2 linked regions of the Oryzias latipes genome follow. The main gene of each other region encodes a partner of the protein of the gene in region 2 in a complex. Links are inferred from orthologs where the notes say so. Each region holds a gene or a part of one and is shown on either strand. Other genes may lie near its edges.

Region 1 (4,952 bases), on a different chromosome or scaffold from region 2:
GAGACCCTAAACCGAGAAAAGCCAATCACATATCGATTTCAGACAGAAGAGCACTAGTGTGAAATTATCCCTAATCATCACTTCCGCTCTGCTCTTTCACAATAAAGTCTGGAGGATGAAACCTCGGCTTCTGCGGCTTCGCATCTTTATTACATGGAAATCACACTCAAAAGCTGTTCCATCAAACATCAAATTCAACATTTCTGGTTTGTTTTTAGCTTCAGCAGAACACCATTGCTCATGCAAACTGTGCATCTTTGGGGGATCATCGATTTTCTAAAATAATAAAACACGTTTAGGGGATAACAATAGTCATAGTTGTTTGTTTTCTTTATAAAAACTATAAGATAAAATTTCAATAGAAATTTTAAAATAGAAATAACGTTAGGAATCCCACTAGGTTATGCCTAAATCTTACCAGCACTATTTACAAACGTACAAAAAACTTGTTTTTTATTAAATAGGCTATAATAAATGAAGGTAAATCTGCAAGACATAAAAACTGAACAGAATGAATAAATAAGAATAGTTTAAAATATATACTTACAATTTTTTATGTTGACCATCACATAAAGAAAAAAACAAATATTTGTGCAAAACAGCAGAAATTGATCCTTGTGAGCCACAAGTGATTCTCGTGCTCCTTCTCATATGTAAAAACTTAAAATTTATCAAACAATAATCACAGAGATGCTACGCTCTAGCACATATGTGTATGCGGGCTCACTGTGTCCTAATGAACACAATTAAAAAACTTTGTGTTTTCTTGGTGTACATAGCACAAAGCTACAGCTTACAGCCCTCAATACAATTGACCTGTCATGCTTTACAAATGTATAACTTCTATACCATATAATCCAGATCGTTTTTAAATTTTCTGCATCCTTATGTAATTTCTTTGGGGATTTTTGGGAATGTATAAATGAAAGCTTTGTACATTTGTTTACTGACAATTCCTAAAATTATCCATTTCAGACCCCAGCTGGGTCCTTTTATTTATGCGTTTTACACGAACACGCTTCATGGAATTGTTTTATGACTTAATAGTCCTTTAGGTGTCTGTGTGCATGCCTGTGGGACCCTGCAACAGACTGGTGACCTGTTCAGGGTGTACCTCACCTTTTCCCAACAGTAGCAGGATAGGCTCCAGCAACCTCACGACTGCAAAATGGATTCAGCCGGTTCTGAAGATGGATGGATGGATGGCTGGACTTTGTGTTGAATTTTCCACCATGTCATTGCTGTCCCAACCTCTTTGTTCTGAATGGATGGGCAGTAAATGAATTTCATACTTATTTCTCAGTTAGAAAGACACCTCAATTTTTGCTTCCAGATCATGTTAACATCCCAAAGTACAGGAAACTCAGTCACTGTAAGCTGTTCGAGTCACAGGGGTGGCACAATTAATCGACTTAATCGATTTGCTTTCCTACGATTCAACCAGATTGATCTGTCTGAGGCTAGTTGTTAATCAAATTGACTTATTCAACTACATCTGCTGGAACAAGTACTCAGATAAAACCAAGCAACACATTTTTTTTAAACGTGGATAATTTATTTTAAACAAAACATTTTAAAACCTGGTTAGATCCCGTCACATTTCACACTCACAATAAATCATCATTGCCCACCACCAACCCGCGCCTGTGCCAGACCAAACACACCCACTAATACAGAAAGCTCTCATATTGATTGAAATGAAGCCTTGTAGTTCACCTTCTCTGCCCGCAGGGGGCAGTGCAGACGGGAAACGCACAAGAGGAAAAGAACAATAAACACCAACGAAGAAGTCCTCCAAACGCCTAAGGGACCTTTTCCCCACCGGTCCCACGTGTTTAATGCATTATTATTTCGTTGTCATTCATTCGGGACGCGAAAACGTATCCATTGTTTTCGCTAGAAATGTTATTTTAAGCTCGTATGCGTTTTAGGTGTATATTTCTATTTTGCCTAAACAGAAAATACGAGCTTTTCTTTGGCCGCAGCTAGCTTAGCTAGCGTTAACGGTTGTGTAGCTGATTTGCGGACAACCACATCTGAATTAGTGGGAAACTAGACTAAAGTTTGCTTTTTGGATGAACAGTGCAGTCGACACAAATATGATCAAGGAAAATCGGTGGAATATTCCCCCAAACGCTCCGGCGTGCATGGAGAAGCATCTGTGCGCGGCTCAGTACCGAGCAGGTAGGAAGAGAGAAGGCGCTAACCGTGGGTCACAGGCATAAACCACGTGCTTTTCATTTATGGGACTGGGGGTTTGTTGGTGTCCTGATATATTCAGCTCAGTTCTTTAGTTCGGCTGTAAACTGGTGTGTAACCTTTAGAAACGCTGCTTCCCACGTTCGTGCTGTGTCCTCTGCAGACGGCACGCTGCTCCTGGGCGCCTCCAGCCTCTCGGGCAGGACCTGGCAGGGGTCTGTGTGGATCTACAGGGAGCCTGAGCAGGCCCCCAGTGAGGGCTTCTGCAGGGCTGGCGTGCAGACGGAGGCAGGGATCACTGATGTCAAATGGGTCACTGAGAAGGCCATTGTTGCTGCTTCAGATTCAGGTGCGTCTCAAATGATCCTGACAACTAAAAACTCAATGTTCAATACTTTACAAACATTCTGCTATAACTTAAACTGGCTTTTCCTTCAAATGTAAGAACATATTCATTTGCTGTTTTACATTATTTTAAGTATTTATCCTTTTTCCACATTTTTATCTGTCTTTTTTAACTCATTTTTACTTTATTCTCATCTAATAAGTTTTATTTATCTTCGTATTAATCCCTGATTTTACCTTATATATTTTATTTCTTTAACATTTTGTTGCAAAATTCATGTTTTCCTCAGAGGGATGTTTTAAGTGAAACGTTTTTATTTTTAAATTGAACGCACTTTGTTTTACTGATGTATGACAGGTGCTTTATAAATAAAGTTTAATTTGATTTGAACTGTGGAACAAACATCCCATGGAGCCAGTCGGGCCGCAGGATTATGGCCAAGGGACGGATTTTCTAAGTTCTCAGATTTTTCCAGTAATAATTGCATATTTTATATCGGATTATAGAACTTTATTAACTTAGCCAGAATTCTCCCCAATAATATTATTATTTATTAACATTTAGATGTCATAGTATTTCTTCTCCTTTCTTTCTTTTGGCTTCATTTGTATTTTCCATTTGTTTTTTTTCCTCCAACATTTTTAGTGAATCAGAATAACAGTTCAGTGATTGCATCTACGCCTGTTTGTCCCTTAGCAGCCTCCGTCCTGCATCTTTGTTTAATGGAATCAGGTCTGTCACTGAATTAAATATTAGGCTGTCATCCGTGTGTAAGAAAAATGTACTTCTAAGTGTGTTGGGACAGATTGACATCAGTAGACAGGGATGCAGTGTTCTGTTGGTTGGCAGGATTGTGTTTGGACAGAACTGCTTCTTGTCCTCAGGTGCTCTAGAGCTCTGGGATTTGGCAGAAGATGAGCGGCTGCTGGTTAGTCGCTTCACCAAACACGAGCACGACCACATCGTGACGACCGTGAGCCCCACTGGAGCAACCGGCGCCGTCACCGGCAGCATGGACTGCAGGTCAGACTGCCGTGTCTGTTAGACCGCTGAAACGTTAGTATCCACTCAGAACTCTGAGGGTTTGATGTGATGTCAGTTCACCCCTTACTGCTACAACTACTTCCACTATGGGTTCATATCAGGATCAGCTTAGTGAATGAAAAACCAGATTGTAAATAAATAAAAAAAGATCATTTGAAAAGTTTTAAGCTCAAAAGAACATTAGGATGTGTTCAGACTGGACACTTTTGGTCCGTTTCAAGTGAACCAGAGTTTGTTTCTCTCAATAATCCGGACCAAATTTTCAGTCTGAATCCCCCCAAGTGGACCCTCATCGTCGTACCTTCGTACCATCTTCTTGCCAGTAAGCGTCTTGCAGGATGCCTCCGCCGTACCAAAGGAGCAGTAAAAAGAATTGTTCCTGATGTTAATACAGGCGCCAAAAACGAATGAGCGAAATATAAAGTTTTATTAAGTGAACCATCCCGACAAGGATTGCAAACTGGAGGACTTCCGTAGTTTCTGTCTCTAGTTGCTTTGCCCCGCCCTCGTAATTCCTGGCCTGTGGGTGAAGAGGCGCTTGACGGGAGCCTGAATACAGACCAGATGCAAGGTTCAGGCCTCGATCCATACCAAATGATTTTTCCAGTCTGAATACACACCAACACAATATTGAAACATTACAAATTGTAAAATAGAAGCTTGAATTAAAACAAATCTAGGCTAGTGCTTCTTCACCAGTCTGGTGTTCTTGTCCGTATGAACTTTGCTTTCTGAAGTGCAGTCGTGTTGAAACAGCAGAGATTCATCCTCTAACTCATCAGACTTGTGGGTAAATCGTGGGCCATCAAAAAAAACATTAGATAAAAATATGTTTTAAAAAATCTGTCTGCAAATAATCCTCCTCAGCATTTGACTGACATGCAGAACGGCCAACCGAACATCCTCTGATACATACATCCGCCATCATCCGGGTGTCATGACATCACAATCATTTCACTGACAGCCGACTGGAAGATTTAGGAGCGTGGAAATGTTGTGACTCGGATATTTTTCCTAAAATAAATGAATTCTCTTCAATGCAGGATTAAAGTGTGGGATCTCAGTCAGGAAGCAGCTGTGACCACCTACAACAGTAAGAGAGCCTTCAGTGGCAAAGCACTCCTGTTTATGCTTTTGACCAGGAGTGTAAATGATGATTTTTAAGTCGAGTTGTGTGTTAGAAGTGTATCAACGGTGGTGTTTGCAGAAGGACAAACACTTTCTCTCTCTCCGTCCAGTTCACACTCGGCCCGTCAGCTGTGTGACCTGCAGCCCAACAGATCCGTCCCTCTTCGTCTCCTGTGGCCAAGTATGAAATGATGTCTTCTGTCAGCATGTGGTCATTCGGGCTCCTGGGGATCCT
Region 2 (3,963 bases):
AATCGAGGAGAATAAGGAAAAGACGACAAAAATGCAGTTGAATCCCCCCCAAAAAAAGAGCGTGTTTGTGGCGTTTGGTGGGCCACAAGCAACGGGGAAGGGAAAGGGGGTGGGGTTGCTCCACACCAGTGGTCCTACCCACAACTCAGGCAAACGTCTAATGAACTACTGCCGCTAGCTTCAGAGGCAACATGTTGCACTAATGAATGCTAAATCATAACTTTCACAATGATGCTTTTATATGACACAGGATTAGCAAAATGTCGTTTTTGACAAGAGAAGTAAAAATATATACATATTCATGTAAAAACTGGCATAAGAAAAAGAGCGTTTAAAGTCAAACTCAATCAAACACGGGTTGGGAACATGTTAAACCTCCATCTTTGTTTGTTTTGACTAAATAGTTCGCCTACCGCCCCAACAGATCAGCAGAAGATGCGGTGGCACTGGCACTTCACTCCACCCTGCAACATCAGGACACCAAGAACACGTACGCCCGGATTCTGTTCCTGGACTACAGCTCTGCCTTCAACACCATCAGGCCCCTGAAGCTGACTGATAAACTCGCAGATCTGGGAATACCAACACCCACCAGAAACTGGATCCTTGACTTTCTCACTGACCGACCACAGGTGGTGAGGATGGGAAAGCAGGTCTCTGCTGAGCTGACAGTTAGCACTGGTACACCACAGGGGTGCTGCCTCAGTCCAAAGCTCTTCTCACTTTACACCCACGACTGCACCTCCCCCGACTCCAACAACATCATCATTAAGTATGCAGACGACACAACCGTCCTCGGCCTCATCAGAGGAGGGGACGAGTCTGCATACAGAGACCTTGTGCACAGGATCACCATCTACGGAGAGGACAACGACCTTGTTCTCAACGTAGAGAAAACAAAAGAGATAATCGTGGACTACAGAAGGAAAGCACCGCCACATCAACCGCTCATCATCAACGGGACTGTGGTGGAGCGGACCGACTGCCACCGGTTCCTTGGTCTGCAGATCACAAACAGCCTCAGCTGGGAAAGAAACACTGCTGCCACAGTGAAGAAAGCCCAGCAGAGGCTGTACTTCATCAGGCTGCTGAAGAAGGCCGGTCTCAAGCGCCGGACCCTCACCCAAGCCTACAGGGGGCTTGTGGAAAGCATCCTCACAAGCGGACTAACAGCCTGGTTCGGTAACACCACCTTAAAAGAGAAGAAGATGCTGCAGAGGGTCATTAATACAGCTGGAAAAATCATAGGTTGCAACCTTCCATCCATGGACACCATCTACAAACAGCGCTGCAGGAGGAGAGTGACTAAGATCATCAGAGACAGACACCACCCTGCTCATGGACTGATCCAATGCGTGGACTCAGGCCACAACCTCAGGCGTCGCAGGCCTGAAAGCATCCACGCACACACCACACGCTTCCACGACAGCTTCTTCCCAGCTGCAATCAGAATGCTGGCTAAGGACATCAGAGAGAGAAGACTGGACTAAAATACTAAGTGCAATAAACAATAATATGTGCAATAATTCTATGTGCAATAATGCTTCTGTACAGATTGGGTCTCTGCAATATCCATTATCATATTTTACTGATATTTATATTTTTATACACCATGTAAATTTGTTGTCTAATTTTGACTTTTAACTTTATTCTATTTATTTTTATTTTCTTTATTATTTCTTCTTCAAATTTTTCTTTTGTCCTTTTTTAACTTATCCTGACATGAGAGATGCCAAAGAAAAATTCCGATGTACCGCATGTGCAAACGGCAATAAAACTTGAATCTTGAAATGCAAAAACTTCGGTCTTCCTGTAATTTATCCATCAAATTTGTTTTGCTTTTTTGTTCTTTTTGTCACACATGACGTTTAAACTGACGTCTTAATGGCTAAAGATGCTATTCCAGTGATGAGGGCCATCTCGGAGGGCTAATGGACGAGTGTCTGCCCTGAGACTGGAATCAGATCCATTATCAGGTCATCCCGGAGACGACCCACTCTCAGACATTCAGAGTCCAGCGGGATAAATGACCAAAATGGGTCCAAAGTTCAGCGATGGCTGCTGGCCGCCACTAATAATTAAAAACACTACTGGGAACACTTTAAAAAAGACATCAAATGATGATCGGGGTGGGACTTTTAAGTCCTAATATTGCTGCTTTTGAGGACCTTACCTGTTGGTACTGAGAGTATTTGATGGGATCCTTCTCAAACACTTCATAAGTCTGAGATTCCAAATTGTCCATGAGGGGCTAAACAGCAGAAGTACAGATCTCACTTATTAATAATCATAATTTCCACACACACAAAAAAAAAAAGATGCGACCCTAATCCTAGTGCTTCCTCACCTGTAGAGGTGACTGCAAGTAGTCTTCATAGCCTTTGGCGAAGAGCTCATAGGCGTTGGGGGCTGGCCTGTTCTGGTTGAGGTATTCAAGGTATTGCAGGTAGGACCTAAAGTCCTTCTCAGTGTGCCGACTGGTGCCTGTGAAGATAAACTGGGCCTCCAGCTGAAAGGAAGTATTTTTGGTTAAACAGAATGGATTAAAACCATCGATAAATGTCTGAAACAAATGGGTGTAAAGAAGAAGTACCTTGAAAAGGCGAAAGATTACTCTTTGGTGGGCTTTTGACAACACGGGAAATCCCTTTTTGTTGGTCAGGAAGAGGCTTGTAGGAAGTATGGCAGCTTTGATTGGCTCCCCCATCCATTTATCGATCACTGCGTCTGAGGGCATGTCTGCACCGATATCAATAGCTAAAAAAAACAAACAAACGTGAAGTAACGGAATTCCGACTGGTCCAAAGCTACCACAACATGGTTTGCTCCCTCACCGAGGCAGATCCTCTTATTGTAGTCACAAAGAGTTCGAAATGTGTTCCACCTGAACAGAAACAAAACAAGAAAAAAGGATTTGAAATTTGACCTGAGAGAGGTGGAGGAAGCAGATGCACAGAAACTCACCAGTTCCACGTCTTCTCATCAACACTCGTCTCATCAGGACAAGAAAAGGGTTCGTTCTCAATCAGGTCTTCTCTCGTGTCTTCTGCCGCCATCAGTGGAACACGTATCCAGAACTGAAGGAGAAAGACGCGGTTGAGTGACGCTTTGGTAACCTACGGAGCAAAGGCCATCCCGTGTCTTACATTTGAGGTGTGGTGTCCCGTGTGGATGTGGCTCAGCAGCAGGCGGGCCAGATTGGCATTGTGAGGGCCCGTCAGAGGGATCATGAAGACAGGGAGACCCAGGTATGCTGAGAAGTTCAGCTCTTGTGTCAGAGCCTGTGGAAAATTATAACAAAATAAACCTCCTAACCCCACAAGAGCTGGCAGTCCTCACAAGAGTTCGCCGATGCCTGAATGGAAATAAAGACCCGTTTCAAATGGTTCAAACTTGAAAAGAACTTGCCTCCTCTGAGTTCCGGCGCTCGGTCTCGATTTCTGAGTCTGCACAGATCCATGGAGAAAGCTTCCCAACAATGAGAGTACCCCAATCTGTAAGAAATATCAATCAGTATTCAGATTTTCTGTTGAACAGACAGTAAAATTTACATAGATCACTTCCGTTTGAGTGTTTTATTTTTTTTTAATGCTTGACTGTTGCCGCCTTGCTTTGAAAGGCAAATCGCGATCAAGCTTTATTTTTAAATGGCACTTTTCCTATAAAAACAAAAACACAAAGTGCTTTACATTAAAATAAAACATAAAAACAAGCATGAATATTAAAATAGAGCCCCCTCCCCTTTCACACCTTCCTGATGGGGATAGGCGATGTCAGCAGTAGGAGAGGCTAATATTTGGGACGTTCCTTTTCTGTGAATAGCTGCATAACCAGCCAAATGCAGCATCACAGGCGGGGACCAGCATCACCACATATCCTATGGCGTCCAGATGACCCCAACCTTAAGGCCCGTACACACCGGGACGAATATTCGCCAGGCGTTATTCGCCAGCGTTATTCGCC

Evidence for each region. The genes of interacting proteins can lie anywhere in the genome.
Region 1: prmt5 (region 2) and wdr77 share a complex: the UniProt entries of both Homo sapiens proteins name them as parts of the methylosome complex. The link is inferred for Oryzias latipes from reciprocal best matches to the Homo sapiens genes PRMT5 and WDR77.

What each region holds. Positions count from the first base shown.
Region 1 is NC_019863.2:2,525,979-2,530,930, reverse strand, and holds the start of wdr77 (methylosome protein 50), read left to right. Parts: upstream 1-1,767; 5' UTR 1,768-2,075; coding exon 2,076-2,184; intron 2,185-2,362; coding exon 2,363-2,548; intron 2,549-3,429; coding exon 3,430-3,568; intron 3,569-4,632; coding exon 4,633-4,682; intron 4,683-4,827; coding exon 4,828-4,898; intron 4,899-4,952. UniProt on the Homo sapiens protein: Non-catalytic component of the methylosome complex, composed of PRMT5, WDR77 and CLNS1A, which modifies specific arginines to dimethylarginines in several spliceosomal Sm proteins and histones.
Region 2 is NC_019875.2:17,815,487-17,819,449, forward strand, and holds part of prmt5 (protein arginine N-methyltransferase 5), read right to left. Parts: intron 3,495-3,963; coding exon 3,409-3,494; intron 3,282-3,408; coding exon 3,147-3,281; intron 3,078-3,146; coding exon 2,965-3,077; intron 2,885-2,964; coding exon 2,835-2,884; intron 2,758-2,834; coding exon 2,594-2,757; intron 2,510-2,593; coding exon 2,348-2,509; intron 2,252-2,347; coding exon 2,174-2,251; intron 1-2,173. UniProt on the Homo sapiens protein: Arginine methyltransferase that can both catalyze the formation of omega-N monomethylarginine (MMA) and symmetrical dimethylarginine (sDMA), with a preference for the formation of MMA.